4 linked regions of the Drosophila melanogaster genome follow. The protein of the gene in region 1 interacts with the protein of each later gene in a pairwise test. Each region holds a gene or a part of one and is shown on either strand. Other genes may lie near its edges. The genes, in order: Nha2, CG7173, CG31909 and RpL24-like.

Region 1 (8,525 bases):
GGGCTTACCTGTTCGGCGGATAATTTAATTAGATTGCACTCATAAAACTAACAGTATTCAAATTCATCACGCATTCCGATTCAGTGGAAAATGCGATTTTATTGAAACAGTTTCACAACCGAACCGCACAATTTTAATGCCGAACACCGACTAATCGCGTTCAATGGCAGCGGACAACTGAGATGTCAGCTCTCTTAGGCGGATAGCTCCACAGCCTCGATACGGAATATGTATATATTTTTTATCTTATGCTAATAAAAAAAAACATATATCTGGGAGTTCGAGGTGCTCTCGTGGGCACGCGAGCGAACCAGACAAAATATTTGTTTAATAACTTAAAATTAGCAAGCAAACTGAGAGAGAGAGAGATTGTGTGATAACGAGAACATATGGGATTATTAGATGGAACCCTGGATCGGAACGCAGGTGCTAATTATGATAAACCGATCGCGATTATGATGTTTCCCACATACATCACATTGAGTTGTAATCTTTGGGGGGCAGACGGCGATTGCAGTAGCTGGGAAATTTCTAATCCCGACCCGCCTTGCAACATAAACACTTATTTGGCCCAAAGCATTTGCTTATCAATTAATTAGCCATAACCAATAGGGAAACTTATGTACGCCCTGCAAATATTTGCCATTTCAGAGGGGCTAAACTCTCGGTTCAGTTGGATTTCGGTTGAGTTGATTATGGCTGCGAGCTTATTGATTATTTACCAGTTCAATGCAAAGTTCGCGTTTGAACTACAACAAATATTTAAGTTTTGCTAATTAATTTAAAATATCTACCCGCCCCTAAAAAACCGAAACTGAAATGGCGCTCGGGTGAGGGGAAAGTGGAAGGGAATGAAATGATAACAGAGGCAAGATTTCTTCTCCATCTTTTTGAATTATGTGCCTCATTTAAAAGTTTTTGCGGCACTTACTTTTACTATTTTTTTCCATAGCTGCCTGGCAAAAAAAAAAAAAATGGTGCATAAATTGTGCAAAGGTGTCGGCGAAGATAGCGTTCAGGTATTGTAAGGCAGCACTTTCGGAGGTCCTGCCGCTGCTGTGATATTTCATATTTCACATTCATGCGCTGCACTCGAGAAAAAGGGGAAGCCGTTGAGCCAACTTGAACTGCAAGTTGGGCAGGTCATTAAGGCTTCATTGGACGCCGCCCCATTGATTATTACCTTTGGCAGTTTCCGGGGCCACGACCACGCCCCCCTATCACTGCACCAATCCCATCCGCCCACTTTGCCCGGGGCACTTTTTTGGCATTTTATCTTGTCATATTTTCTGCAACTTTCAAGTGACCAGGCACGAAAATAATGCAAAAGTTATTTTAAGCCAAGGCACTGCGATGCCTTTCGCATTTCGCATTTCGCTTTTCAATTGCCCAAGAAGTTTCCACACAAATTATGCCACTGGTCGCAAGAAGCGCAGCAGGAGCCGGAGCAGGACTCCTTCGCAGAATGTGCTGATGGAAAAAAGTAATGGCCATATCCATGGAGCTCCAGTTACAGTTGCAGCTGCATCTGCAAAGTTTTTGTCATCCGCTTGTCATGTGCGGACTATTGCGTACGAGTGCGAATCTGAGGTGTTAATTGGAAGCGAGGCAAACACTTTTCCAGACGACGTCGGCCCGAAAACTAAACAACTTTGAAAAAGTTCACTTAGGTCTAAGGATGGAGAATTTATAGTTCTGCTCAAAGTTGAACGAAGTTTTTTTTTGCTGTCACTTAACATTTAGATTGTTTTTTCAGCTAAAAGTGCCATAAAAAGTGCTCGGCAAGACGGTCTACTGAATGTGTATCCCCAGTAATTTATATCAGTTATTCAACTATTCATTATTTACAGGCGAACGTTAGGTGCTTTTTCAATATGTTTAAACGGAAAATTGCGCTCGCTGATGACAGAAGTCCTTATTCTCCTTATTCCGTGCTCTTCCACGCCAAGGAGCCCGGAGTTCCTGCTGTCTGAAGTCTGAAACTCTTTCTGCGTCTGGGGCGTACTTATATATCAAATCACTTTTCCCGTACTCAGAACACATTTATTTTATTTATGTTTACTTAAGCGTACCACCTTTTAACTATGCCAGCCGGCATCCTTGCCGCGTCCTGAATCCTGATGCCGACTTGCAACTCCACATGCAGCGCGCATTCGGAAAATAATTTCTTTGCGTGGAAGAAGATTGCATTCCGTTGTCACGCACTTCCTGCCAAGAGATGAACTCACGCCCCAGCGATTCGCATCGAATTTAGTGCTCATACATCGCAAATCAGTGGAAACTGGCACTTTCTTGGCTCCGGGCTGGTAAACTATATAAAAATGGTAGAGAAATGAGGTCACAAAGCGCCATTCAGCGCCATGCTGGTAAATAAAAGAGCCAGAGACAAATTGAAAAAAAAAACCCCCGTTGCAGCTCGGCAAATAAGCAGCCAAAGTCTGACAGGTGGTCAAAGGTTAAGTGCGGGAGGGGCGACTAAGTGCAGTTTTAGTAATTAGCTGTGGCGCAAGTGCAAGTGCCTGCAAATCCTTCAGATTTAGCCAAAGTATTCAAGCCTCCAAAGTGGGCCAACACAGCTGCGAAACGCACCAGCGCCAATTGAAATGGCGTCGAAAGGGTTTTCGTGACGGTTAACATTCTACCATTCATTTGGCAATCATTATGCTGAGTCACAGTCTAGCTGGCATTTATAAATGTCGCACACTGCGTATACGTAATGAACTGACTTGCACACACACACACACAGGCGCATGAGGCGAATGCGCAATGCACTGCATTTATCAATAGACGAGTGCATGTTTGTGTGCCAAGCGTATATCATGTTGGCTTTAGTTAACAGAAATGTCACCGTTTCACTCACAAGCAGAAGCGACAGGTGAAATGTGGATGGGGCAGGTGGATGGTAGGGCTGTGCCATTCAAGGTTGAGCTTGAGGAATTGCCCCAAACGCTGCATTTAAATGGAATTTATTTAATATAAACGAGTGCCTGCACATGCGAGCATTAGTGCTGCCTGCAGCGGTGCGCAAACTTATTTAAATATGACTTCCACAGTCAAATCAGAGTCAGACGCGAAATGGAAACGGGCATCGGAATCGGAATCGGAATCTGAATCAGAATCAGTGGTGCACTCCGAATGTGAAAGCGAATAGCAAATGCGAAATGAATGCACAGGAAATGAGCCCCGGTTAATGCATATTCATGGGAACATACTTTGCCGAGAGCCGCGGGCTTTTGCCACTCGTGTTAGTTGTATGATTGCGGGCATTTGGGCGCAACTAAACTGGCTCATTATTCGTGTGAAAATGCCACAATTGCGATGGCCCAAAGGGAAGTTCTCCCCAATTCTCCCAAAAAGTTGTACAATGGACTGGTGCGAAAACCCGCATTTGAACAGATGCAAAACAATTGCTGCTCTGGGAGTTTCAAAAATACTAGCTACTCGGCTGTGGGCGAAAAACCAGCAAGGGCCACCTGCCAAAACAGAGGAGCGTAAACAAAAAGCTCGGCCAACGAAAGTGGTCCACACACATGGCCAGCAGGGCACAGCCTTGCATATTTCCAGAAATCAGAAGGAATGTGTAGGAAATGCCTGCCTTTGAGTTTGAGCCGGGACGGTAGATGCACTGGACTGTCAATCGCAGACACTCTGTCGTCAATATGCGGAAATATTACGTATACGCCCCTGTGTCCCCCGCCCGCCTTCGCCATCTTGTGCAAGATGTGATTGTGCGGTTCACTTAAAATCGAAATGCCTCAATCAGCTCCTGCCAGTTGAGAGAAAAAGCTGTGATTCTGCCAGGATATCTCGACGGCGAAACAAAAACTTTGCATAAACAAACTATGAATACTCGTATATGTGCTGAAGTGCATATGTGCATATCTGAGCACGCATTGTGCACTTGGCTGTCGGAGCCACTTCGCTTGGCTGGCCAACAAAGCGTTGGCATGGAGCTGTTCCACTGGATGTCTCTGTCTTCAGCATCCTTTTTGCCGTCCTGTCTGCGGGTTGTGTGCACACTGATCCGGGGAGCTGGTTGCATAAAGGCAAGAATTTCCGTAACAAATACTTTCGTTCCGCATTTTTCGAATTTCCCCATGACGACGCGGTGCAATTAAACATATCACTCACCTTCGATGGCGCTTGGCGCGGTGCTTCCATGGGCACGAGGGGGCACCTGTGGCTTGTCGCCAAGGAGGTGCTCCTTTTCCGGCTCCAGGATGCTGGCGGTCACCGTTTCGCTGGCTCGACGCAGCATATGCAATGGAGTCAAGTTCGCATCACGATCGCGTTCGAAATCTTGCTGGCAGGAGGACATTTGATACGAGTCCTCGAAGGGATTGCTGCTGCGAAAGGCTTGCAAGGGTGGACCCTCACTGCCTGCCACTACATCCAATATATCTAAAAAAAAATATATATATATATATAAATTAATTTGTATGATATTAAAATTAAAATCGCTTTATATTCATACTTTTTTCCCACAAAAAAAATTGACTCAAGCTATTTGGTAACATTTTTAATTACGCATGATAGATAAAGCCGAAGGGTTGCTAATCAAACAAAAAATATTGATAATTCCATTCTACCATTCTTATTTTCCAGTCCCAAGTATATAAATAAAAGAGTTAATTTCCCAACAATTTGACTTGTGGAAGCCCGAACATATTTGCACACGATTTATTTATTGGCACTTGGGCAAAAAGTGGCATTTAATTGATTAACCATAAACTCGTAAATTAACGCCGAAAGTGAGTATCGAAAGCTGCCAGAATCGCTTACCGGAATCGCTGCTCATGTCGAATGTCGGCGAAATCCAGAGAACAAAACAAAACTGAGTGATTGAGTGAAAAAAACGCGGAAAATAATGCCAAAGAGCGACAACTGCTGACGCAATCAGTACGATGACGTAGTCCAAATGGCTATTCTTGGCTCAAAATTGACGAGTGCCAAAGAGAAACGCCGCGGTTTGAAGAGATTGGTTAGCTGCGAATCGAGTGGATATATAGTATATAGTATAGTATATGCAGGGAACGGAACACGCGCGACACGACCGGCGGAAAGGCGGAATGAAATAGTGTAGTAGCCCCGGAACTTGAGCACTTGGAGCTTCTTTTTATTACAGCTCATGCACTGGCAAATATTTGCCAAACGCATTAATTAGAAAAGCAAAAGCCATTTAAACAAGCAATTGCCGATTCGCGCAGCTCCAGCGAGCGCTCTTCGATTAAAACTAATTGGCAAACAAACAAGCTCTGCGGAAGGCGAACCTTCTGTTTTCATTGCTGTCGAGCGAAAAGTGCGGAATGAGTTGGTTTCTGGGTTGGGTGAAATGAGGGGTGGGGGTGGGGTCTGTTTGGAAGCACTTACATATTTATAAGGGGTTCGTTTATCTGCGATTCAATATGCCCATAGTTTTCTAAGGCGCAGCCAATTAGCTGATAAATAATTGTCATGTAATCATAATTTATCTGAACTAGATAAGGCGCCGAATAGCCGCGTTATTAATAGACCTCTAATCATAGCGCATTTCCCATGTGTGAGTGTCGGAATGATTAAACGCTTTCACTTTTTTTTAGGGAAATGTGCGCGACCTGCCCCATTTGAGCTCTATCATTGGGGCGGCAATTCTGTGCCATAGATGGCGCTTTAGTTTGCCAGCTGCGTTTACATGGTATTAAAAAAAAAACTACCTTATATTGTTTTTATTATTAATTATTAATTTTTGTGAGCTTGGAAAGCAATTATATTTCCTTGAAGTAAAAAGAGTTTCGCTTGTCTTGCAAATTGTTTTTCTGACAATTTGCATTTTGACGTTGCTCATCATATTGGGCGCCGTGGCCACTCCCACGCCGTGGCTGTAATTTAATTGCTTCGCTGGAATATTTTTAATTTACCTGATGGACAAACCAGCCCCATGACAAAGATAACCAATCGCAGTGACGTCACCACCATTATCCAGTGCTCCAGTCAGATCATCTCCTCATCAGGTGCCACACGTTGTTGCGCAAAAAAAGTGTCGTTTGCGAAAATATTTAATTTATTTTAACTATGCACACACACTTTTTTGCACTGTATGGAGTTGCAGTTGCACTCTCACTCTATAAGATGGCCATTATGACGACGATGATGATGACTATGATGATGGCTCAAAAAAAACAGGACATTGTGAGGTGCGGGGCGCTGCAAAAAGGATAATACAACTTTCTCGCTCTATTTGCCACGCACACACATGTTGTTACAGTGCCGTGATTTTTGTTGCATCAAATTGGAATTTTTTCCTTAAATATGGTAAACATCGATGGGGCAGAGATTTATGTATAGTGCAGCGGCGCGTTGATGAAAATGACTCGCCGCTGCATTGACCGTGTTTACTGTTTGTCAGACAGGGCAGCAATTTACGCCCACATGCAAAAAACATTAATTTGCATGCAAGTCAATTATCAGGAGGCAGCAAACAGACAGGCGCTAGTTACCAGTTTTCAGTATTCAGTTTTCTGTTTTGAGTTTTCAGTTTTCAGTTTTTCAATTTCTTTTGCACAAACATTGGTGTTATTATTCCGCCATAAGGATGCAAGGACTAATGGAGATACTCTTGAAATGGGTCATGATATTCCAAAAGAATCGCATATGGCGCAGAAAGATTTATTTTGTTTTTCATTAAAGTACCATACAAACCATTAATTTAGCTCGCTACTCTTATAGAGCATCTGCAGGTTGTTGAGCTCAACGTGGACACTCAATGGCGAGGACTTTCAAACTGCCAGGCCAGCACATTTCTAAATGTTTTTATTAATTAAAAATATTGCAAATTAAACACATTTCCAAATTGCGTTTTGCATTTTTCGTATAAATACGCGGTCGATGGAAAAAATGCAAATATAATTTACAAAGCATACATTTCACATTTTATTCTTATTTTATGTTCATTGCATTTTGGTTTGCTCTATCGCCGCTTTCGCAGCCATCAGTTCTTAAACTTGCCTCAAAGCTCTTAAACACGATTACTACCTGCTAATTAGCTTAGAATACCTATGTTTTGGGACCAGTCTTGGGTGCATGATGGGGTCTACCTGCTTTTGATGGTCACCTCGCACTTGGCAGCCAGATTGCGGAGGGTGAGGAACTGGCCGGATGCCCTAATCTCCGGCCAGCTGCACCGGAGCGAGTGAGCAGGTCCCAGGAATCGGTGGCCCGGAGTCTCGATGACAGTCTCGAAAGTGGGTCCATGTGGCAGGTGGTCTAGGTGCCACAGGAAGACGGCGTGCTCATCGCCGCCGCCGATCGCAATGACAGCCAAGAAAAATGTGTGCACTCTGACGTGGCCAAAAGTGGAGGACTCCTCGCTCAGCCGCAGGCAGGCCACGCCCTCCAGGGGCAGCTGGGGGCGGACGTGCAAGCGTTCGCCGAACGTGCCGTAGATTTGCAACACTGCCAGCCGGTGGTCGCCGCTCAAATGTCGCAACAACTGCCATTCCCGCCGACCTATTGACCCCGCCTCCAGTGGCAGCTCCTGATTTACTCCGGCTGCCGGCGCCTGTTTATGGCTCCCCGCTGATAAGGATGCACCTCCCGAGTTCTCAACCACCGCCAGCGCCTGCATCGCGACTGTTGACAATTTGTTGGCCACTGGCTGGCCAAGTTGGTAACTGTGGCTGCTGCATGATTTCCCAGTTGGGCAATGATAATTTTGATACTCGCTCTCGCTGCTTGCTGACTTCTCATGCCCCAGCTGCTGCCGCTCCTGCTGCTGCTGTTGCTCCTGCACCTGGACACCATTATTTATGGTGGCAACTTCATCGCAGCGCAATCCGTCTTGATCTGGCCCAGTAATCCGCCAACTTTTCTTACTCAACTTTAACTTTGGTTTAACGAGCATATTGTTGTGACCTTCCTCCGAAAAGTGCTCGACAGCGGCCTCCTGATGCTGCACTTTTATCAGCGTGCAACGTGGCAGGACAGCCTCCTGCACCGCCTGCTCCTGCTCCTGCCCCTGCTGACTCTTTCTTCTGATTTCCCGAGGACTTTGGTCCACCAAAACTGTTTCGAGTTGCCTGGAGATTTGCTTGCCGCACTTGGACTTGCCGGAACTCGTCTTCGCCAGCGCCATTTTCGGTTGATTATGATATTCATTTGTGCACTTGTTGACGCTGCTCAGCTTTCCATGGCCCTGGGAGGCAGCCACCTTGTTGGTTTTCCCTGAAAAGAGGCACCGAAACGGAGGACCATTACAAAAAGTACGAAATGTAAATATAATAAATACAACTGGGACAACTGGATGGATATGCACGCAAGTTGTCCATTTGCGCTCGTTTGTGTTTTGCCCCCAAATCCCTTGACACAAACTCCCTTGAACTTCTTCAAGTGGCAAATGAAAATAGAGCAGAAACTAAGTAAATATCCGCGTACCTGCATCTGTATAAAAATGGTTGAACTATGGCTGAACTATGGGTGAATCCGGGCGAATCATAAAGAATGCACACTTAATGTAGACGCAATAAAAACGCACTAAGCACGGCATAATC
Region 2 (8,804 bases), on another chromosome or scaffold:
CAGTGGCGCCTGCTGCTTGATCAATGGCTCGATCACCGTGTCCGAGGAGGACTTTCTGGCCTCCATTTTCTTGGTGTCTGAAACAACCGCTTGCGACGTCCCCTTGACTGACTTGTCTTTTTTAGGTTTGCCCGAAGTAAGACCAGCTTTCTGGTTGCTTATGGCATCTGCAGGTTCTATTTTGCTATCCATTTCGTCCTCATTCTGTTCCCTGCTCTGGTTGTCCTGAGAGCAAAGCACCTCTACATCGGTTGATTGCTGTTTGCCTAAATCGCCGTTGTTGTTATCGTTGACTTTCGGTACGTCGTCCACGTTTTTCGGGCTTGACGCCGTTTTGCCGGGAAGGGTGTTATTTGAAAAGCGTCTTAGCACCCGCACAAATAGGTTACTTTTGCTGGCAGCTGGTGGTGTAGGCGTGGTGTTCAGCGTGGGTAGAGAAGAAGCTGGCTCGATAGGTGATGACTGGATTGAAGTGGTGCTGCTAGTGCTCGTGTGTGCAGAAAGTGTGCCCTGCTTGCAAGTGGGCTTTCTGTTTAGTGTGTCTTTTAGTTTTGATGTCGGGTTCGGCTTTTGCCTAGAGGAGGCAGATCTATTAAACGAACGGTGTCCCGACTTTTGTATATTAGCTCCCTGCACAGTTTGCTCCTCGCTAGAAATTGAGGTATTCCTAAAAGAATGATAGAAGTAGTTGATTAGATTCTATAGACTCACAGGTACAACAGTCGAGTTTTCCACAGTTCTCAGTAAACTTCCTTCCAAGAACATTTTATAAACATTCGATAAACGAAAAAACGGTTTCAGTTTACGTGTTGTTTATCTAGTAAGTTTTGCTTAAAACAGAGACGTTGAAGTAACAATTCCAGTTGAAGCATATTTAAAAATTAGTATCCTAGGGAAACAAATCCTTTGTAGGATACTTGGTCAGTTTAACACACTACATACAAGGATATTTTAAACCAGCTTTTACGTTATTTAGGCATATATGAAACAACGATTGTTACTTCAATCATTTTTTGTTATGTGCCCTGATTTAAATAAAAACAATATTTAAATAAATAGAGATATTCCCTAAATGTTTTGGCAATGACTCCAACTCACCTTTGAGGTTGCGTGGTGCAGGAGGTAGTACCATCTTCGCTGATGGCGCTTCCCTTCCGAGCACGGTTCGCAGGTACGACCTCTTGTTGTCGTACGAAGTCGCAGAGGGTTTGTCCAATTTTGCAAGATTTTTAGCAGCAGACCACCACGTTTAATCTGAAGCGAGAGGCAAGGCGGTGAATGAGTACATGAAGGCATGGAGGAATGGAGCAAAGGTTAAATTCCGGCACTATTGACAGGAGGAACTGGCTTGGACTGGGGCAGAGACATGGGCAGGGGCAGGAGCAGGGAAAGGTGACCATTCCCACACCCACTTATGTTCGTTGCTTGGTGCCGACGTCTGAAATATCGCTTACAGCTGGGTGGAGGAGGTAGTGGCGCCGTCTCCAGGAGGCCGAGGTGTGCGCTTTCCATGAATCACTAGTTTCGATTGCACTACGTTCGTCACTGGCTCTGCCGTTCCACTCTACTCTGTTCTGTTCTGTCGCGAGGGATATGTGCGTATGTGCGGTACGCTGGCTATACATACATATTTATGTACATTTGATTCGGGACAGGAAGCATATGCAGCGACTATGATGTCATGTTTCCACGCCGCTCCTTCCGGAAGTCCTTCGCTCGACGGGATCGTGCTCGAGTTGGGGATTTACGACCGGGACGGGGTCTAGGGCTCGCACTGCGACTGTCGGATCGTTCGCATCGAGGATTTCAATTTGTGATTGTGGTGTTCAAAGGCAATTCGAGCTAGCAAGCTTTCATATTACGGCACGGGGGATTGGTAAGTCTTTCGGGAGATAGTGTCACCTCCACAAGGGGGGTCAATTGGATTGAACGCGTGCGAGAGTCAGCGGAAAATTGAAGTTATTTCGCCAGAAGTTCCCTTTACTTTCACAAAAAATTTTACAAAGCAACTGGGTTTACTTGTGTTCGTGATCTATCGATAGCGCATATTGTTACACAAGTGTTATCGGCGGTGATGCCACCCAAGCTACCAGCTTGCCTAATATATATGTTACGCATTAGCAGAGATGTTACCTGGCCTCTGTTAACTTGAACAGTAGACCGTTACTCTTCGAACGAGTTATAACATTGTTAAGAATACTGTATAACCTTTAAGCATTAAGCCACTTTTTTAAATTTCATTTTGCCTGCCATAATGAAACAGATTACAAACAGATTACAGCTGTAAAAACCACACCTAACAAAGTCTTAATAAATTCCAAACCCTTATACAGGTTTCCCTTATTCAGCAAGAAGATGCTCCTGTCTCTTTTGTTTTGCCCCTAAGGCAAAAAGCCCAGATAGTCTCTTATTTTATATATATAAATATGATTTTCGATAATGTTTTCTTGCAATTCGTTAATTTATTTATTATAACTAACTTCTCTGAATGATTTTTGAGATACATACAAATATATTGTAGAACTTAAATATACATGCACTAATAGTTTATAAGTTATCACTTTAATGAATAGGAAAGCTATAAGTGCACGATATTTTTATACGTGAACAACAAATCAAAATCACTTTTTACAAAACCCTACATTTTACCATTTCCACTAAATTTGCATATTTTGTAATCGCTAGAATAAATTAAATTAAAACAGTTTTTTATTTTATTTTAGTTTAAGAGCAAGATCCTTTACTCTTAATCGTCACACCTGGAATAGAACATGTTGGTTTAAAATATATACAGACAATACATATATTGGGTATGAAACTCTTACTTATATTGAGGCATGACGAATAGCACTGCAGTTGGGTTTCGCCCGTGTACATGTATCCGTCGGATCCACAGATTATTTCATCGTTTTCATCGTACACATTAGCACATATCTTCTCGCAGTAGTTTTCCGTGTCCTTTGGATCGTCAGGAGTAGCTGAACTCGTCACAGTGGGCACCTTTGGAATATCTTGCTGAAATGGGCAAATTTAAAATTAAAAATGTAAGAGCTAAATTCACAGCAAAAAGAATTTGATCTTATTAGGAAAAACTGTTACTGGTATTTGATGAGTCGTATAATTTTTGTAGCTTGAGTTGATAGAATCAACTATTTTTTTAAGTTTATTTTTTCAAAGAAGAGTACTATTTTAAACCCGTAAACGATTTGATCGAAATTAAGTACTCACTAAATCGCGTAAAAATCATTATAAAATGCCTTAAAGGTTGGAAGTGCTTGTTTTTGTGGCCACTTTTTGGCCAACAAATATGCTAGCTTATATAAGCTACTTGCGGTTTTCACATTTATTGAGAAACAGAACCAACCTGCTTTCCACTTTCAGTGTCGGAACTATCCTCTGGGTCATCGGTGTATTCCTTAATGGGCTTGCTGAGTTCAATCTTCGGGGCAGGAGATTTCGCGGGCTCGCGGGGAGCTTGGGCCACGGTTTCGTAGTAGTACTGATTGGCTTGCGGGGCTTGGGTGTACTTCATCGATCCCCTTATGGCATCTTGCTCGGTGAACTCGAATCGCAGAGGCTCCGGGGTAAAGCTCTTGTGGGTCTTGGCGAGGTGCTGGCTCTTCGACGGCGATTGAGTGGTGGTCTGGACCGCCATGGGAGTAGAGACCACATGCTTAACGGCTTTGTTGCCGTCGGACTTGACAACGAAGACATCCTGACCTGCCTGGTAACTGCCGCGAACCACTGCGGAATTCGCAGGAGCGGGATCTTGCTGGTAGAACAAGTCGGACACTTGTATGGGCTCATTGTAACTGGAGGAGACTGAGTTGTCTAGGCCAGCAGTTTTGTAGGGAACATGTTGCTGCAGCGCTTGTTGCTGCTGCGGCTGCTGGTGCTGCGGTTGCTGATGCTGCTGCTGTTGTTGCTGATACAGTTGCTGCTGCTGCTGCTGTCTGTATTGCTGTGGATATTGGTGGAGCAGCTTCTGCTGGTCCCGCTCGGCGTCCAGTTTCTTGAAGTCAGGATCCCTCTTGGGCAGGAAGTACTCGTTGGTGCTCATGAATTGCAGGTAGTCCTGCGCCTCCCTGGACTCCTTTGGTGGTGGCACTGCCTGGCGAAAGTTTACCGCCTGCTTCGCAGGTATATCGGTATCCTCGTAGACAGAGTAGCTATTTGGATCCTGGGGAAACTGGCTGTTTTGGAGAGCAGTTTGCTGGGTAGGGACAACACTGAAACTGGGAGATCCCTGCTGTCCGAAGAGCTTGGGATAGTGCAGGTACTGGGAGGCCTGGACGGGAATCGCATGCTGTTGGATGGGTGCGTACACTGGCTTGGTGTCCTTCATGATCACATTGCCATTGAAGCGCGGCGAGGACTTGAAGTTCTGAATGTACTGCTCGGAGACATACTGGAGTGGGAACTGGTTTTTGCCCACATCTAGCACCGGAGTGTCCTTTACGTGGGCGAATCTGCCCTGCTGACTCTGGTCGAACTGGTACCTCCTGAGCTGGTCGTTCGCAGGAAAGTTCCCGAACTGCTCGCGACGCATGATGTGCTGCGCAGTGGCAGGTTGCGGCGACCGCAAGAACTTGTTGGAGCCACCAGAAAGCATGGCCAGGTTATCCGATCGCGATCTTATCCGGGGCAGTTGTCCGGGACCCGGCGGCCGATTGTGCTTGATATGGTGCTGGGCCAGGGGCTGGTTCTCACTCAGAAACTGCCTTATGCGCGCTTGTCTCATATCATTCTCACCGCACTGCACTTGGTTGATTAGGACCACTATCAGAACTAGGGCCTCCAAAATGGGGGCCAACTTAAGCGGACTCTGAGTCATTTTTAAAGCTCGTCTTCGTTCCACGACGGTCTATTGGTATTTGACATTTGTCAGTTCCGCGGCCAAAAGCAAAAAAGTTTCTTTCGAATTAACCACGCACACATGCGAAGCTTCTTTTCCATTCGACGATCCACGATCGCGCAGACTTGATCTCACTTTCTTTGTTATCCGGCCAGTCGTTTAAATAAAAATGGAACGCCTCGCGGCACTGCAGCCAAATACAATGTGGTGGCCTCGTCTCTGGGCCCAGATGCAGCTATCTATGTATATCTATTTAAAACCGACTTGGTTCGCCATATCAGCTTAAGATGGGCACTTTTTCTAGAGCCTGTGGTTCCAACGCCGCAGCACCGTTAATCAATGGAGGGTCTCGAGCATCCACATCCATCCGATTACTTTCTTCTTGAATTTCGGCGGTGCCGTCGGTTGGAAAGCAACTGAGTGGCAAATGGAACGTTTCTGAACTAGCTGTGCTGGAATTCGGAGTGTCGGAATGGCCACTAAACCAGTTTTGAGATGCTGCCTCTGCTGCCATAGAGGAGCTGCTGTGGATGTGGATGTGGATGTCGATGTCGATGTCGATGTTTTTGGATTTGGATGTGCATGTGGTGTCCACCGAGAGATCCCCGAGAGATCATATCGCGACACGAAGATGGAGCACTCGAGCCTCGGGGCACCGTGACATCGCTCCAGATGCGACAGAACCATTGGCCAGGTATGCTCATTAATCTGGCTATCTTGAGTGCTGGTGAAAGTAAATCGGAGATAAGATCTTTTGGAGACCTATGCGTAATTGGTTCGGAGTTCCTCAAACATCAGAGATTAATTTGCTTATACAGAATGCCAGATGGCTGGATGTCTGAGACTTGTGAATGCAGGGTTATTTACCTCATGTAAAAGTGAAAATGTTTTTAATTATAGATACTGGGATAATGGGTACAACTTTCGCTTTTGTCGTCAATTTGGCACTGCTTTTTCGAGAGAACAAGCCATGAAAACGATAATTTGGATCATTGTTATGCAAATCGCTCGAAACTGTAATCGTTCGTTAATGTATTCATTCATAAAAGCCCTGTTATTCCATAAAGTTTCAAATATCTCAGATTCTTTTGTGGCCAGTAAGTTTGTGAAAATGGAACTGATTACCTTTTTATGTATAAATAAATATTTATAAGGACCTAACACAATTAAAAAAAAACAACTCGGTAGCAATAAAACTCAGTTGGTTTATTTAGTAATATTATGAGATGTTGTAGAAATAAATAAATCTCCTTTGTGCGGGGGCACATTTGAATTTAGACAGACTCCCAGTCATATCACTAAATTCCCAATACGCAATTCTTAGCTCTTAAATTAGTTCTACAAAAGGTTGTTCTCGACGTCCTTGGCTTAAACTACAAATGTTGAAATGGCCTCGTGCTTAAATACAAGTCTCCTCGTTCTCGATCCAAATATCGTTCTCAACTTTGGGCTCCTCGCAAACTGTGTGGCTGTTTTCCAGCACGATGACAATGTCCGTGGTGCTCAGGACCGTGGAGTCCGCATTCTGGAAGTGCAAGGTCCAAAGTTAATATACACACGTGGAATACAAGCAGGTGAAAAGTAATGTAGTATTTATTCGCCCTGTATTTTACTATTTCACAAACTCAAACAATCACATACGAGCACTTTAATTCGCTCAACAGGCAATGTAAGGAAAAGTTATGTTCCCATGGGTATTTGTGTAAACAAAGCGAAATCAAGTTAAGCGGGGATGGAGCCGGAATACTAAGCAACTTCAGCATTGGGAATTACAAGGATACACAAATTGACGCAGAGTGAAATAACTTTTTAATTTGATTTATTCGCCCAGGTATCTTTGAGTTCCGAGAGTCCGGCGACACAGAAAAGTTTGGAAATAACTCTGGGATTTCCAGTTCAAAAGAATCTGCGCATCTGTAATAACTAAATTTATGCTAATTTACTACTATATCATACTCTAGGACACTATGCTATACTTCAATGAGTATTTATGATTTTGGTCTGTTTAATTACTTTTGGTAGCGGGAGGCTGTAGGTTTTCTTTATCAGCACCCTATTTGCAGATGAGGAGTCCGTTTCGAACTTATTTGGATGCTGGCTGGCTCTGACGTGAACCTATGGGGTAATTTGAGATAGAATAACCAAATTAGGTTAGGTTGGATTAAAATGTGCTTTCAATAACTTAATAACTTACAGAATGAACGCGGTCGTAGGCGGAGCTTTCCCGGAAACTGGAGTGATCCCTCGCAAATCCGCTGTTGTAATAGGCGCCCACGGCTTTTCCGCAGAGGAGTTCCCTGAACGCAACCCTGTAGCGACGTGACATCACACTGTACACTATTGGATTTACGGTGCTGTCAAGCCAGTTGAATCAGATAAATAAGTTAATAGAATTTGGGTTCATTTACCATGAAACGTAGTACGCAAATCCCGCAATCGAGAAGAGTGCCTCGTTTATGTCCAAATAGTTATCCATGTTCTTGGCATACAGGAATATGAGTCTTTGCAGGTGGAACGGGAACCAGCACACGAAAAACGTAATCACCACAGCAGCTATACTGATTAAACGGGGACTTTATTGATGGATTCTGTTGGGATTGATTGGGAAAAGCTCACCCAACATGCGAATAACCGTCTTCTTTCTCATTTGGGAGTTTCTCGTTTCCCTGTTGTTGGTGCCTTGTTGAACACCTGGAATACATCCCTGAAGTCGGATCTTTTGGGGTCAATAAAAGCCAGGTACTTGCCCAATTTTTGGTTCGTTCGAGATCGAATCTTGGCTCCCATTCGTCCGTAGAGCAAAATGATGAGTATCATCGGAATGACAAAGAAAATGCAAAAGGATACTTCGAACACGGGAATTTCGTTAACAATCTTGGGCGACATGGAACAGAATGCCGACTCCTCAATGCGGGAATGATCTGAAAAGCGCAACGAATGCCATTTATACCTGTTCATGTTATTTGGATATTATTCAAAGAATATACTTCAACCATTCATGGCTGTTGGATGGTGAAGTTCAGGTCGCTCGCAAAATTAAAGTCCATTTCAATTGATTTATAAGGTTTCAGCAATTTACTTCATTTGAGCAACTACTGACTCGAGCACCAAGCACCATTTTTGTACTGCTAGGGAACTTATGATGTAAATAGTTTCATACCTAATGGGTAGTTGAGGTATTGAATATCCGAGAGCAGTCCAAATGGAATGGCGCTTATAAAACTAACAATCCAAAGAGCTGTTATTATCCGAATCGCGCGCTTGAAGCCAACCATAGCATACAGGTGCAATGGATGGCAAATGGCCAGGAATCTCTCCATGGAAAATGCGACGATGGTAAAGACGGAGACATAGGTGCATCTGAAACACAGCTGGGTTTATAAATGGCTAAACGTGTAGTCAAAAGTAGTTATACTAACGCCTCTGAAATAAATGCGCGTATTTTGCAGAATGGCATGCCGAAGAGATCCGGATACTGATGCCAGTACAGAAACACTTCCGTTGGTAATCCTAGTTTTGTTTAAAACAGCATATTCAGTTAACTATATTTTCCTATTTTATTTAGTTAACCTACCAAATAGTAGGTACAGCAGATCTGAAACAGCTAGGCTGAACAGATAGTAATTGGTCGCCGTGTGCATTGCCGAGTGGCGAATAATCACAATGCACACTAAGAGATTACCAACGACCCCGGTTATAAATATGCCACCAAAAATAATTGTTATCTGGAAAAGGTTTAAGCAAACAGAATGATCGCTTTATCAATTTAAAACCTTAGATTAAAGCAAGCAAATTGCAGAGCCGATTCACCAATATCCATGTGTATTTAGCCTAGGTATGTACAAGTATAAATGGCTGTATAAAAGTTTTAATTTAATATCTTGGATGAGGAATGATATTTGTTGACTATTGAGTATGACTCACAACAGGCAATAAGAAAAGTTATTTG
Region 3 (6,534 bases), on another chromosome or scaffold:
CGAAATAACTGGAAACAGATATGGCATGGGAAACCAATTCAAGGGAAATTCCTTCTGCTATTTCTAGAAAACTGATAAGAGAAGGCCATACTAGCATGTGTGTTGTAACTTTTGATAAATCAAATAAAAGTTTCTCATGTGCCGGTTTATTATTAGCAGTAAAAACTTTGTAGTTCAGAATTTCGATTGTGCAATCCTAAGGTTGGTGGTTGCTAATTAATTAATTTAATAAATTTAATTTAATTATTATTATTAATTAATTATTAAGTGTTCAAATGACATATTGGTTTAACTAAGTAGGCGCACAAAATTTAAATTCTCTTTGAAACGGTATTTTTACCGATTGCTCGCACACAAAGCTTCATACAAGTTCTGCTAGATGGCGCACTGGGCGCTGAAATCTGTGTAAAAATCATCTGCAAGCCAAAGATAGGTGTCGCTTTAATAGAAATCCGAATCCAATATACCTGTTATACTTGTAGAGTAAAAGAATAACGGGTACCTGTTTCTTTTATTATTTTTTAACCATAAAAAATAAAGTAACACCCGAATTTTTTTACATTTTTCAAATCCCACCTGTCCGTCAAAGCATATTCATCGAACCTTCAAAAGCGTCTACTTCATCCAGTAAATCTATATTGTCCCTTATAATAGTTGAATCCCTGATTTCGTTTAAATATTTTGGGTTCTCTACGATTTCTCTATATAATTTCTGTAGATCGCTCTTCAATTTATAGAAAAAGTTAGTTAACTTTTTCTCTTCTTCGAGAGAACGACCGCTTTCAGTGTCGACAGTGTCCAAATATTCATAAGTCTCAATATGGCTGGGAGTAGTGCCATCAATTAAGTGATTTAGCTCATCCGCCATTGAAGAAAATTCTTTTAAATATTTATCTTGCAGAGCTCTCTCTACTCGTAGTTGGTTCTGAAGTTCCGATTTGTTAGTATTGGAAAACGAGGGTTCCATTTTTTTTGTTGGTGATGGTGACAGCACCTTGTTGTCTGGCAATTATATGAGCTTAGATATAACAATGGTCAGTTCATTCTGTGTTCATACGTACCAAGAATCTTATTTTGTTTAAAATCAGAAAAATATTTTTTTATGTTAAGATCGAACCTCACTTTCTCACTCACCTCACTCACCGCACTATATAAGTTTTCTGACTGTAGGGTCTATTTGGACTTGACACTTAACACAACTGCCTCTCCGTTCGAAATTTTCCCTTACTCGTAGAGTAAAAGTGCATACTAGATTAGAAAGAATTTTGCGTTCCCACTAGCTGAGTAAGGGCTTTCTAATAGTCGGGGAGTTCGACTATAGAATTCTCTCTTTTTTATAATAAAAACGTAATTTAATTGTGGTATAGCTCTAAAAAGGACTTTTAAGAATACCTTTACCTTTTCTTATGAAAAATTTCGAATACTTTATGTCTGCCAGCGAACACTTCATTTCGGAGCACACGGTGATGGCGGTGTTCACTTCGCAGGGCCAAGTGGGTGGACCCTGCAGATACATGCCTGCCACGCGGCGTCAGAACCACCAGTGTCGCAAGGAGACGGGATTGCCGGGAACCCTTAGCGAGGCCCGCCGTCTGGCCACCACCCACTGCGAGGAACAGTTCCGCTACGACCGCTGGAACTGCTCGATCGAGACGCGCGGAAAGCGGAACATCTTCAAGAAGCTCTACAAGGAGACTGCCTTCGTCCACGCGCTCACAGCGGCCGCCATGACCCACTCGATAGCCAGGGCCTGTGCCGAGGGACGTATGACCAAGTGCAGCTGCGGGCCAAAAAAGCACAACAGGGAGGCGCAGGACTTCCAGTGGGGCGGCTGCAATGACAATCTGAAGCACGGCAAGCGGGTGACACGCAGCTTCCTGGACTTGCGCGGTGGTGATGGTGACGAGGTCAGCGAGATATTGCGACATGACTCAGAGGTAAAGAGATATATTTTAAGGAGCAGAAGGAGATATTTTATAGAATACCTGTGCTAATTAAACTTTCTTTTCAGGTCGGCATCGAAGCTGTCTCCTCGCAGATGATGGACAAGTGCAAGTGCCACGGCGTCTCCGGCTCCTGTTCGATGAAAACTTGCTGGAAGAAGATGGCCGACTTCAATGCCACAGCCACGCTCTTGAGGCAAAAGTACAACGAGGCCATTCGCAAGGCGCCAAACCAGCGATCAATGCGACAGGTGTCATCGAGTCGCATGAAAAAACCAAAGCAGCGACGCAAGAAAGTAAGTTCTTCAAAGAAAAGTAGAGTAGATGTAGAATTATATGTAGAATACATTCGAAAAGGTAGATCTATAACGGGAATTGGTTTCTATGGAGAAAAGGGTATCTGATAGTCGAGGTAGTCCATCTTTATGTTTAGACTTTTAACCACAAAAGACTTTGTTAATATTTTAGAACCTAAACTTAAAAAACTAATAAGTAATTTCCCTTTACAGCCCCAACAATCGCAATACACCACGCTGTACTATTTGGAGACCTCGCCCTCCTACTGCGCGGTCACCAAGGATCGGCAGTGCCTGCATCCGGACAACTGTGGCACCCTGTGCTGTGGGCGTGGCTACACCACCCAGGTGGTTAAGCAGGTGGAGAAGTGCCGGTGCCGGTTCAACAATGGACGGTGCTGTCAGCTGATCTGCGACTACTGCCAGCGGCTGGAGAACAAATACTTTTGTAAATAGACGGGGTGCCATCTCTCGCAGACTTTCTTTGCCCCGTCTCCGTCACTTTCTATCCCTCTACTGTGCTCTTTGAAAATGTAATTTGTAAAGTTTTTTTCTACCTTTATGGCTTGTAATTTTTTTCCATTCCTAACAAATATTACTGAAATGATAAGCAAAAAGAACGAATGCAGAACGATAGAGATCGATCAGAAAGCTAAGGCTTAGCTAAAGGCCAAACTCACCAGCTCACACACACACACACACATACTCAAATGCATAGACACACACAGTCACACAGACACACACAAGCGCATACATGCATCTATCTATTTAATTACTATATAATATATAGTAAACATTAGCTACCGTCGCAAAGAAAAAATCTCAAAAAAAAATCGCAAAACTTTATTTAGCAAAACGGAAAACCAACAAAAAAACACGGACACACACACAAAGAACAACAGAAAAGCAGAAGCTAACAAAACACACAGCAACAAAAACGAAAAATAAAAACAAAAAACAAAAACAATTTTAATAAGTATTTAAACATACAAAACAAACCAAAAAAAATACAAAACTGAAATGAAATATAAAGTTTCACATAAAAATAAATACTCCAATGATCTTTTATTGCGGGTTTGTCTAATTTAAGTTAGAGAGTAACTTTATAGTTAGAAACTAAAGTCCTTGCGAAAATCAGAGCAGACCTAAAAATAAACTTTTAATTAAATTTTCGTTCGGCACTCAACAGTGATGTGCAGCCGTGCAAACATTTGAACAATTAGCGTACTGTCGCTATAAAAATTCGATCCATCACGTTACTTCAGGTGACTTGGCCAACGATGAAGCGGCGAACTCTTATCAACTTTCGGTCGGTTACATTGATCGCCAGTAGATATCAGTGTCAGTGGCAGTGGGCCGCCACTCGAGGCCGTTTCAACAGCTTCAAACCCGACCAAACCGAAGTATGAACCGCCGAACCTCAAGTGTTAGATAACTGGTTTTATCAATTGTCAAATTGACTGCTCACGATGTCCACGCGACATCGCTTAACACGAGACTCAGCGCAAAACCACACGACTCGCCTAACCCCAAAAAAGCACCTGTGTAAACTTCCGGTGATCTCAGTTTTCTAATAGTAACAGTAAAGCTTACTTAAAACAAACCGATATGAATATGGTTTGTAATGGAATAACCAGCAGTACTTCTTCGTATGTCAAATATGTCGAAGACTAAGATGAGCGACATCTGTTGACTACTTACTTTACATACTTGAAGCCTTTTTACATTGCATACACTTGGGTGTATTTATTTATTTACATGGCACTAAAGTACTTGTTCTTCCTTGCTATGATATACAAATATTGTTGTCCTCAATAAGTTTTAAACAACAAGCTGATTGAAAACATTTGAAATATCTAGAAGTATAGAAAATAAAATACTTAAATCAATATTTAATTTTATACAAATATGTTGGATCAGCAGTCGAATTTATTTACTACTAAATTGAATGTATCAATATTCTTAGCTCTAGAAGGACATATAATTGTTTTAGATTTAGGGCGCCTCCACTGTACTCTTCTGATGTGTTATTTTGTCGCTTTAATGGCATTCGAGCCATCTGTCATGTCTCAAGTCCCAGGACCTCACACTTTTCCCCTTTCAGCCGTGACATTGATACGCTTCTGTCAACATAATTCAGTGAGTGTTGCGTGCTGAGACCCAAAAAACTATTGCATGTTCCGCATAACAAGGATACCGGAGATATCAGGGAAAAGGGCAAACCTTTTTCAGATACCAGTCGAGCGTTTTACATTTAATATGCGCCTTAAACACAATATTTTCTATGTAAACTGTAGTCCTTGTGGTCTACATTTGATTGGAAAATATTTGGCTGGCGGGCAAATATTGATTGAGAACAAACGCCCCGAGCCAGTAAAGATTTTTACATTAAACAGCTGGAAAGTCGTAAAGATTCCTCCAGAAAGACAAGACAAATTACACGCGAATGCCATTTGGTAATGACAGGATGAAAGCACGCCCCAAGCTCGTTTCCCAAACACGCATTTTTCGCCAGTTGACATTTGGGAATGTGGCAGGCACAAGGTCAAAAAACCAGTGGGCAAATAAGATTTTCGGCAATTGAATAAAGTGATCCCTAAAGAGAATGTTAGCAGTTTGTAAATAGAATTTACCGAGCCTATTGTTGTCATCATATTATTTACAATTTATGTAAATCATTTCCTTGTTTGTTTCTAACTACATCAGCCAGCGAAAGTGTTTAATAATTATTTGCACTTTCTTACTTCCACTGTTTCCTAACAAATGTCACGAACTATAAAAACAACTGGTAATTCAGTACACAAAAATTCAATAGAGCAAATCAGCGCTCACCGTCCTAAGTTCTAAGTACACAGCTTTTTATACTTTCGGTACCATGCCGTCTTAATCAGCCGCTTAACAACTGCTCTTCTAATTGTTCAGATGTTTTCAGAATGCCAATTGAACCAAGAATGGCAGCCAATTGTTTTCATTTCGTGAAAACCACAAGCATTCGATGGCTATTAATTACTTGGTAGTAGAACCCACGGACCTCCACCCCCTTTTCACCCACGCGATGGCGACAATAAAAGTAATTTGCATAAAACGGAAACAAGGCGAACGAGACGTCGAATCAAACGGTACAATAATAAATTAAATAAGTTAAGCAAATACACGTGAAAAATGAAAGCGACAAGCAGAGAGCGGTATACACTATGATAATTATATTAATTTCGTTCTCGTGTTATTAAAGTAATAAATATTTTAAAATTTTTCTTTTAAATTTTATTTCCTTTATTTTTAATTTTAAAATTCCCCAATTTTTAAATTTAGATATATCTATATTTGAATACTGCTATCGAACTTCGTTGTATACAGTATCCCAGACTAAAACGAAAGAATGAACGTAGTGGTAAGTAAAAGCCAAAAATCGCCGATCTCAGCACAGGTCACGTAGAGAACAAAAGTGAAAACAAGACCAGAGCAACGAAGACGCCGCCCAGACGGATGACAGTAGAGTCTAATGAGAAAGCTGACCGCAAAACTATGATTTCGAATTGGAGGGGGTGGTGGAGCTGACACGGGTGACTTACAGATCGGAAAGAACGATGTCTCAATTGGCAGAAAGTGAGAGTGCAGCGCACTGCATCCGACAGATACGTGAACTCAACAAAAGCCAAATGTCGCTCGGGTTGGGGCAACATTTCCATGGAAACCATCGACCCAAACACTCGAATCATGATGATGCTGCCGCTACTATGGGTGCTATTTGTTGGACCTTCAGTTTTTGGGTAAGTTGTAATGAGCTGGGGGAAAAAATTAAATAGGTTCTTTATTATTATTTCCCATTAGTTCGCCTTTGGAGATGCAACTTTTGGATATGATGCTGCGCGAGGCGGAGGACTATCCCAGCAATGGTCGCGATCAGAGGGATATTTCCGTTTTGCCAACAGCTCCGATAGGTTGCGATGACAGCGGTGATGCACAGGACCCATTTAGCCACATTTTCGATGAATATGAGGAGAGCAAGGAGGAGTGCATGGACTTTTTGCCACCCTGTGAACCAACGTTCCCGGAAGGTCTACCAATTGAACATCCGTGCTTCGTTAGATTACTCCTGCTAAGAACACCGCTGCTCAAGCAGGATCCCTGCGCCAATTTCACCCTGGTAACTGAAAGACCAAGTACCACAGTGAAACCCAAAACCAAGAAATGCGATCCAAAACGTAAAGCCAGTAAAAGTGCCGCACGAAATGAACTACTGGCACTACCCAATAATGGTACAATAAATTCAACCACAAGCACACCATTAAGTT
Region 4 (6,833 bases), about 12 Mb from region 1:
GATTCCGTGATCAAAGTGGGCGTGGCACCCCAGGAGGATGCCATGAAACTTTCGCACGACTATGGAGTAGGCGTGGCCAGCACACTGGATCTGCGCTTCCTCTGCGTAATGGCAGGCCACAAACCTGAGGGACTGGGAAAGCTCTCCAAAACTCACCTGAACTATACACTGGACAAGCACTGGCGCCTGGCCTGCTCCAACTGGGAGGCCAAGACTTTGGAGCCAAAACAGCTTGATTACGCTGCCAACGACGCACTTATGGCGGTGGCCATTTATCAAAAATTGTGCAGGGATCTGCAGCCAAAACACTTTTGGCAACGAAGGCAACTGGACGACAATAGCATGCACAACAAATTCGAACCCTTTCTCGACGTGGACTTCACGAAAGGCTTCACACTCAACCCGTCCGGCAGCGGAGTAACTCGTTCAAAGGGCTCCACCCAATCCAAAAGCAATAAATGGGTGCCCAAGAAGCAACCGTACCGGCAAATAGCTACCCGAACCAAAGACTTCTACGATAACTGCCTGCTGCAGGCGCCCGATGGCGAACTCCTGTGTACAATTGACAGGCGCAAGGCGTCCTGGTATCTCAATCAAAATCTGGGCACGCATATAAGCGAAGAGCCCTTCACTGTCCGCCTTAACTTCGAGCCAGCGGGTCGAGCGGTCGGAGATGTGGGGCGCTTCTATCAAACAATCAAGAAAAACCAGTGCGTGGTGTGTGGTGACCGGGATGCGTACATTCGGAAGAACGTGGTACCGCGGGAATACAGAAAGCATTTCCCATTGGTCATGAAATCTCACACCTCCGACGATGTGCTGCTCCTGTGCCCAACCTGCCACCAGCTAAGCAACATCTCGGATCTAAGGGTTCGCAGCAAACTGGCCGTGCAGTGCGAAGCTCCTTTCAAGCAGGAAGACGGATCTGTCAAGTACCATGATGATCCGCAGCTCAAGTAAGTATGCCATACATTTTCAGAACTAAGTTAAAAGTAAAAGTAAATTATACATTGCGAGGAATGTAGATTGCCTTATCAGTTATCTTACCAGACATATTTTGCCTCTTTTTTATCACCTAACTTTCCAAAACATACCCTGATATATGATAAAATTAATCTCCATAGAGTTCTCAATGAATCTGAATTGCATTTTATTATTTCCAGACGAGTCCAATCCGCTGGCAAGGCACTACTTCATCATGGCGCGAAAATACCCGCTGCAAAGAAGGCCGAAATGGAAAAGACTCTCCTCGATTACTACTCCGATCAAACGGACATCACAGAAGATCTCCTGCGGCAAGCAGCCAGCGTGGAATATCGCGTAGAAAACTCCGACTACTGTCAGCATGGCGAGCGGGTGGTGCAGCAATATCGCGATCATTTCGGCGGCCTGGTGGAGCTGGAGCGCTTATGGCGGCAGCACTTTCTGCACACAATGCAGCCCCGCTTTTTGCCCGAACTCTGGAATGTCAACCACAATGCCGATCGACTGGAAGTTCGCGCCAGCGAGGGTCGCATCGATAAAGCCGATCTTATGGTGGCCGGATTGGATGCGAAGATTAAAGAAACGTGATGCAGGGCTTTTCTGAGTTTGCCACCGGCTTTGTACGTTTTATATTTCAATTTTAATAAAAATAAACTAAAATTTTTTTTTGTGCTATGGTACAAGACGGGACAAGGAGTCACGGTTCATGAGGCAGATGAGCATCTCTGGACTAATCTAGGTGACTATAAATATAAAGCTTACCGTATGGGACAATAATACAATATGTACACGTTTAAAACTGAAGCACCTGGATCGAAGTAGAGTGGAGTGCGGTAGCTTGGAATGGCGAGCTAAATGAACTCGAATCCCTCATACTTGTAGTCCGTCTCGATCCTCGTTTCGGGCAGCAGTGTCTTGCCCGCAATATCGAAGGCTGTGATGAAGGTGGCCGTCTTGCCATTCAACTCCTCCGACTTAAGAGCCACGATTATTGAGTCATCGGTGCCGGGCAAGAACTTAAAGCTAGAGAAACCATGCGTGGGCGTTGTATTTTCAGGATCGAGCCGTACAGTCTCAACGTTGGTGAAGCTTTCGTCGGCGGAGACCAGGACATTGCAGCCCATGTGCTCGTCCTTGGTTTCGTTGTATCTTTCAAAGATAGATCGATGAGTTAAGGATTTAAAGGCTGACACGCTTACTCACTTCTCTTTCGAACACCGCCTAGGCAGGAAAAACCAGCGATTCCTTTCCTCTGACCAGGTTCCACTCTCGTGGATCATGTAGCCCGGCCAGGTTATTTGCATCGACTGCAGGCGCAACTGCTTGAAATTGTCCACCCAGTTGAGCGACCTCACCTCGCCGGACGGAGTGATGGCCTTTACGTACATGGGGTTATTGTTCTCGAAATCACCCGCACTTGTCGTCCACTCCTTGCCCATGGAGCCCACATACAGCGTTTGCTCTTTCACTGTGGCCCATTCGGCCTTGAAGCCCTTGGCACTGTGTCCGTCTCCATCGAGCAGGATCACCCAGGGAATGGGCTTGTCATTCACAATCTCGTATATCAAACCCGTTCGGTCGTCGAAGGTGAGCAGGCGCCCGTTGAAGGTGACTAGCTCAGATAGCTCCATTCCGCGGCCCTTAAGGGCAAATGCTGATTCCAGGACTATCGGCGCCCCGTCATCCCAGCTAATCTGGATCTCTGACCTGGCCACCGTGTAGGTAAGGTAGCCCTTCTTCAGGTAGCTACGCCACGTGCTGCTCCCATCGCCCTTGCTCACCTTGGAACTGGTGTCCAGATCGGCAATCATGGCTATCCGGTAGTTTATCACACCGCCACGCAGCACCATGGGTGACGTGAGCGGATATGTGGCATTGTAGGCCTGGACCACTGGACCACCATTGTCCAGACTCCGGGCATCCGTGTAACTGCGGCGCAGCCAGTAGCCGTCGGAGGAGGAGTGCGATCCCTGGCGCGCAAAGTAGAAGAGTAGGACGAGTACGAAGGCGCAAACAATCAGAAGGGCGAAGTGATAGTTAAAGCGCACCGTCCGATTCCCAATCCGGTACGTGGGCGTCCGCAGGGCCGATCGCCAGTCGCGCATGTACATGGCGCGCGGCGAGTGTTCTGCGTGTTCCCGGTACGCGAAGGCAGGGCTCTGCATCTGGTCGCACGTCAGCAAGATCTCGTTCGCGGTGATGTGTCCGATTTTCTTGGTCTGCTGCTCTGTTTGTTTGGATGCTGGCGGTGTGACCAGCGCATGAGCGGGCGATCAGCTGGCGCAACAGCTGGTGCAAACTGGCGAGCGCATGCGATGTTATCGAGAAACAGGTGCAACAATTCAGTTTAAGTTAATGTAAACATACTGGGAAAAACATGATTTGGACAAAGACCGAAGGTAATTGAAATTATCAAAACAATACAACTGTCAACTGGTATCGCAGTCACTTGCAATTTATACGTATTTCTTGCTTGGATATTTTTTGTCTACATCTAGCTATTTTCCATGTTAGCCAGTGTTATCGATAAGCAGTGACTGGTCGCACTGCTGACTGCCGATACATTTTCATATTTCTTCTTCTTCAGCAGCACACGTGCTAGCAGCTTGCGCATTTGTTTTGTTTTCGTAATTTATCCGTCGTAAATTGCGAAAATGCGCATTCAAACGTGCTATTTTTGCTCTAGCAAAATATACCCGGGCCACGGGGTGCAATTCGTGCGAAATGACTGCAAGGTAAGAACGATTTGCTTTCCTGTTTACATGTGCTCCGATGTTTATATTGCTTCGCCATATTCCGTCGCAGGTCTTCAAGTTCTGCCGAGGCAAGTGTCACAAGGCCTTTAAGCGCAAGAAGAATCCCCGCAAGGTAGGATGGACGAAGGCGTACCGCAAGGCCGCCGGCAAGGAGCTGGCCATCGATCCCAGTTTCGAGTTCGAGAAGCGCCGCAACGTGCCCATGAAATACAGCCGCGAGACCTGGCAGAAGGGTCTGGAGGCCATCAAGCGGGTGACGGAGATTAAGGAGAAACGCACCAGCCACTTTGTCATGGAGCGACTGCGCAAGGGTCGCCAGGTCGAGATTCAGATGGACGTCAAGGATGTGCAGCGCAACATGTCCCTGATTCGCTCCCCAGCCGCAGGGCTGAAGCAACGACGTGCCCAGGAGGCGGCAGAGGAGGCCGCCCTCATGGAGGAGGATCTGCCCGAGGAGAAGATCACCTACGTGGATGCACGCGAACTCGAGAAGAAACTGGAGGAGGGAATGGGGGTCGAGGATCTCGAGATGTTAGAAGCCTAAGGACGAGTACGCTGATTTTTTCTTAGTTTAAGTTGCTGCTAAAAAATACATTATATAAAAACCCCGTGGTACATAAATGTTGTCTTTGGTTGTTATATATTTTCAAATCATTTGTCCACTTCTCTGTCAGTATCCTTTTGTTCGGGGGACTCCAAATTAATGGTTACGGGTCCATCGTTTTCTATGTGCACTTGCATGTATGCTCCAAATTTGCCATCTATTATAGTAAGTGAGATTAAAACATGACCAGCTGGAGTGTTCCTATCACTCACCTTTAATCTTGGTGCTATCGTAGGATTGACCTAGGCGATCCAAAAATTGATTGTACAACTCCTGCGCCTCCTCGCCCTTCATGGCAGCCAAAAAATCCGGTTTGTTGCCCTTAAGGCGGTGATACAGTGTAAACTGCGAGACGCACAGCAGTTCTAGGTTCAGATCCTTCACGGACTTTTGCCAACGCTTGCCCTCCTCCTCGAATAAACGGAGAGCCAAGATTTTCCGGACACTTGAATGGTAAGCTGTGTTAGGTGGTCTAAACCTAAGGTGGTTATCACCAGAGTGGAATTTACCTACAGATACTCAACATCCTTGGCGGTGTCGCTGGCCTTGATTCCCACCAGCACGCACAGGCCTGGTCCAATGGAGGACACCAGCTCATCCAACACTAGGGGAGCAGTATAAAATTATATGATAGATGGTAACTATTTGATCCTGCATACCCGTCACTTTGGCAGCCTTAACCCTTTGTATAACCGCACGCATTTCTTAATTATTCTATTTATTTACCACTTATTTAGATCTTTGTCAGTGCTGGTAAACTTGACACGAGCAGTGTTGACCGTCGCCCCAAGAATTCAAAAATATCGCGCATTTTCTGGGTAATAAACATATAACAGTATAATATAAAAATAACATAATAAATATAAAATACAGTACAATCAATAATATAATTTGGTTACATGCTGGGAGAGTCTTTTTGAGCTGGAGGGTGGAATACTTGCTGGCCCTTTGGAAAGATTAAAATTGATCTACATATATGTTAAATTCTAAAAACAAATTATCTATGCTAGCTCAGTTACAAAACAACTTGGGCCTTCACTAGGTGAATAATCAAAAGATGAATTCCAATTCCGAATAATATATATTCATCTAAATCTCAAAATTGAGAATTTGCTTAGATATGTTATTGTCTTTTAGAATGCAGGAGTTTTCAAAGCTACAAATTCATCATTTGGTATTTCTCACAGCTAGTAAATCCCAGAAACAAGGGGTTACTAATGTGTTATTGCTCGAGGGTTGGGATATCACAGAGGCGTTGGCGCGGCGCTTAGCTGGAGCTTCATATCGCACAGTTTCTTGATGTGAACCTGACCGGTAAGCTCCGCCTGCCGCAGGATTCGCCGGATATCCGCCAATCGATCGTGCTTGTTGGCCAGCAGATAGGCGGATTTAAGCTGCCCAATGTAGATGTAGGAGGAGACTCGTAGCTCCACGCTGCCGATGCGTTTGATCAACCGATCCAGCATCTGTTTCGTCTCCGGCGCACTGCTGTGCACAGCAGCATTAATGGCAATCGAGAGTATTTCATCGGACTCCGTGGAAATGTCTCCGCCGTTGTTGCTTCCTATGCAGTCCAGCAGACGCTCTACCTCACCCAAGCGCTGATTTCTCGACAGGTACTTAGCAGTGGCTCCAAACACCTTAAGTGCAGCCAGCTTGAAGTCCTGCATAATGCTAAAAATAAAACAATTATAGCTGACATTGTCGTCTTGATTTTATCTTTTTGCTTACCCGTAAGCCAGGCCAAAACCTTCGTCTATGTTCTTACCGCACATGAGGATCAGAATGCAAATTTGTATCCGATCTGCGGCGCCTTCGAACAGAGTAGGTAGAGTTCCTCGACTGGACTCTAGTCGAATCTTTGCGGAGGTTAAGTTTGGTATTAGTTAAAGAAAGAATAAACGCAATTCAAGACAGTACCTGCTTCAGAGTTTGTATAGTTCGTAGTGGCTCATCTGGCGGCTGTTCTCGCTCACACTTGTCCAAGAACTTAGCCACTTCCAACTGTCGCCGGATGGTATTGATGTGTCCATTGAGAGCCCTGGCATCCATTTGCATGGCGAAGCAGGCACCTCGAACGCTTGCTGTGCTACTCACGCTGTTTCTGCGAGCCTGCTGCCGCTGCAGGTGCTCCCATTCCGCCATATCCAGTTCACCCTGAAGATGCCTGAGGGCAGACAGCAAGTGCTGGGCGTTGGCATGCAGCTTCTGAAAGTTCTCGCACTGCAAGGCGTAGAACTTCACGCACGTCATGCTGGCCCGGATGGGATCCTTTAGCAGCAGCTGCAGTTGGTACAGCGAACTGAGTTGCTGCTGCTGCTCCAGATGTCGACAGGTCTGCAGTAGTGGCAGACGCCAGGCAGTGAATTGAGCGTCGTCCAGCTGCTGCAGTTCGTCCATCAAAACGTTTAGGCCGCCGTTGGCCAGCTGCGGGTAGAATATGTGATGGATAAAGAGATCCGCGTCCAACTGCTGGTGCTGCCAGTAGC

Evidence for each region.
Region 2: the proteins of Nha2 (region 1) and CG7173 interact in a two-hybrid assay, tested with the Drosophila melanogaster proteins (one large-scale study listed by BioGRID).
Region 3: the proteins of Nha2 (region 1) and CG31909 interact in a two-hybrid assay, tested with the Drosophila melanogaster proteins (one large-scale study listed by BioGRID).
Region 4: the proteins of Nha2 (region 1) and RpL24-like interact in a two-hybrid assay, tested with the Drosophila melanogaster proteins (one large-scale study listed by BioGRID).

The regions. Positions count from the first base shown.
Region 1 is NT_033777.3:22,993,383-23,001,907, forward strand, and holds the start of Nha2 (Na[+]/H[+] hydrogen antiporter 2), read right to left. Parts: upstream 5,147-8,525; 5' UTR 4,799-5,146; coding exon 4,783-4,798; intron 4,404-4,782; exon of another isoform or gene 4,402-4,403; coding exon 4,132-4,401; exon of another isoform or gene 3,072-4,131; intron 180-3,071; exon of another isoform or gene 9-179; intron 1-8. Other genes in the region: CG34375 (uncharacterized protein), read right to left, coding at 7,070-8,199.
Region 2 is NT_037436.4:21,552,927-21,561,730, forward strand, and holds CG7173 (uncharacterized protein), read right to left. Parts: upstream 5,301-8,804; 5' UTR 4,835-5,300; coding exon 3,365-4,834; intron 3,016-3,364; coding exon 2,826-3,015; intron 2,760-2,825; coding exon 2,725-2,759; 3' UTR 2,447-2,724; downstream 1-2,446. Other genes in the region: Wnk kinase, read right to left, coding at 1-192; CapaR (capability receptor), read right to left, coding at 6,255-6,380, 6,869-6,970, 7,050-7,209, 7,264-7,408, 7,472-7,546, 7,603-7,776, 8,016-8,215, 8,275-8,365 and 1 more.
Region 3 is NT_033779.5:7,252,165-7,258,698, reverse strand, and holds CG31909 (uncharacterized protein), read right to left. Parts: upstream 1,188-6,534; 5' UTR 1,135-1,187; exon of another isoform or gene 1,062-1,134; intron 1,003-1,061; 5' UTR 968-1,002; coding exon 584-967; 3' UTR 501-583; downstream 1-500. Other genes in the region: Wnt4 (Wnt oncogene analog 4), read left to right, coding at 1,439-1,937, 2,012-2,239, 2,453-2,695; CG13786 (uncharacterized protein), read left to right, coding at 5,927-6,009, 6,071-6,534.
Region 4 is NT_033777.3:11,428,295-11,435,127, reverse strand, and holds RpL24-like (ribosomal protein L24-like), read left to right. Parts: upstream 1-3,545; 5' UTR 3,546-3,638; coding exon 3,639-3,719; intron 3,720-3,789; coding exon 3,790-4,284; 3' UTR 4,285-4,388; downstream 4,389-6,833. Other genes in the region: Exd2 (exonuclease 3'-5' domain-containing 2), read left to right, coding at 1-956, 1,164-1,572; CG5276 (uncharacterized protein), read right to left, coding at 1,836-2,133, 2,188-3,149; Dtd (D-aminoacyl-tRNA deacylase), read right to left, coding at 4,392-4,501, 4,557-4,789, 4,858-4,948, 5,004-5,046; Sptz (spastizin), read right to left, coding at 5,589-6,018, 6,076-6,203, 6,265-6,833. UniProt on the Drosophila melanogaster protein: Involved in the biogenesis of the 60S ribosomal subunit. Ensures the docking of NOG1 to pre-60S particles.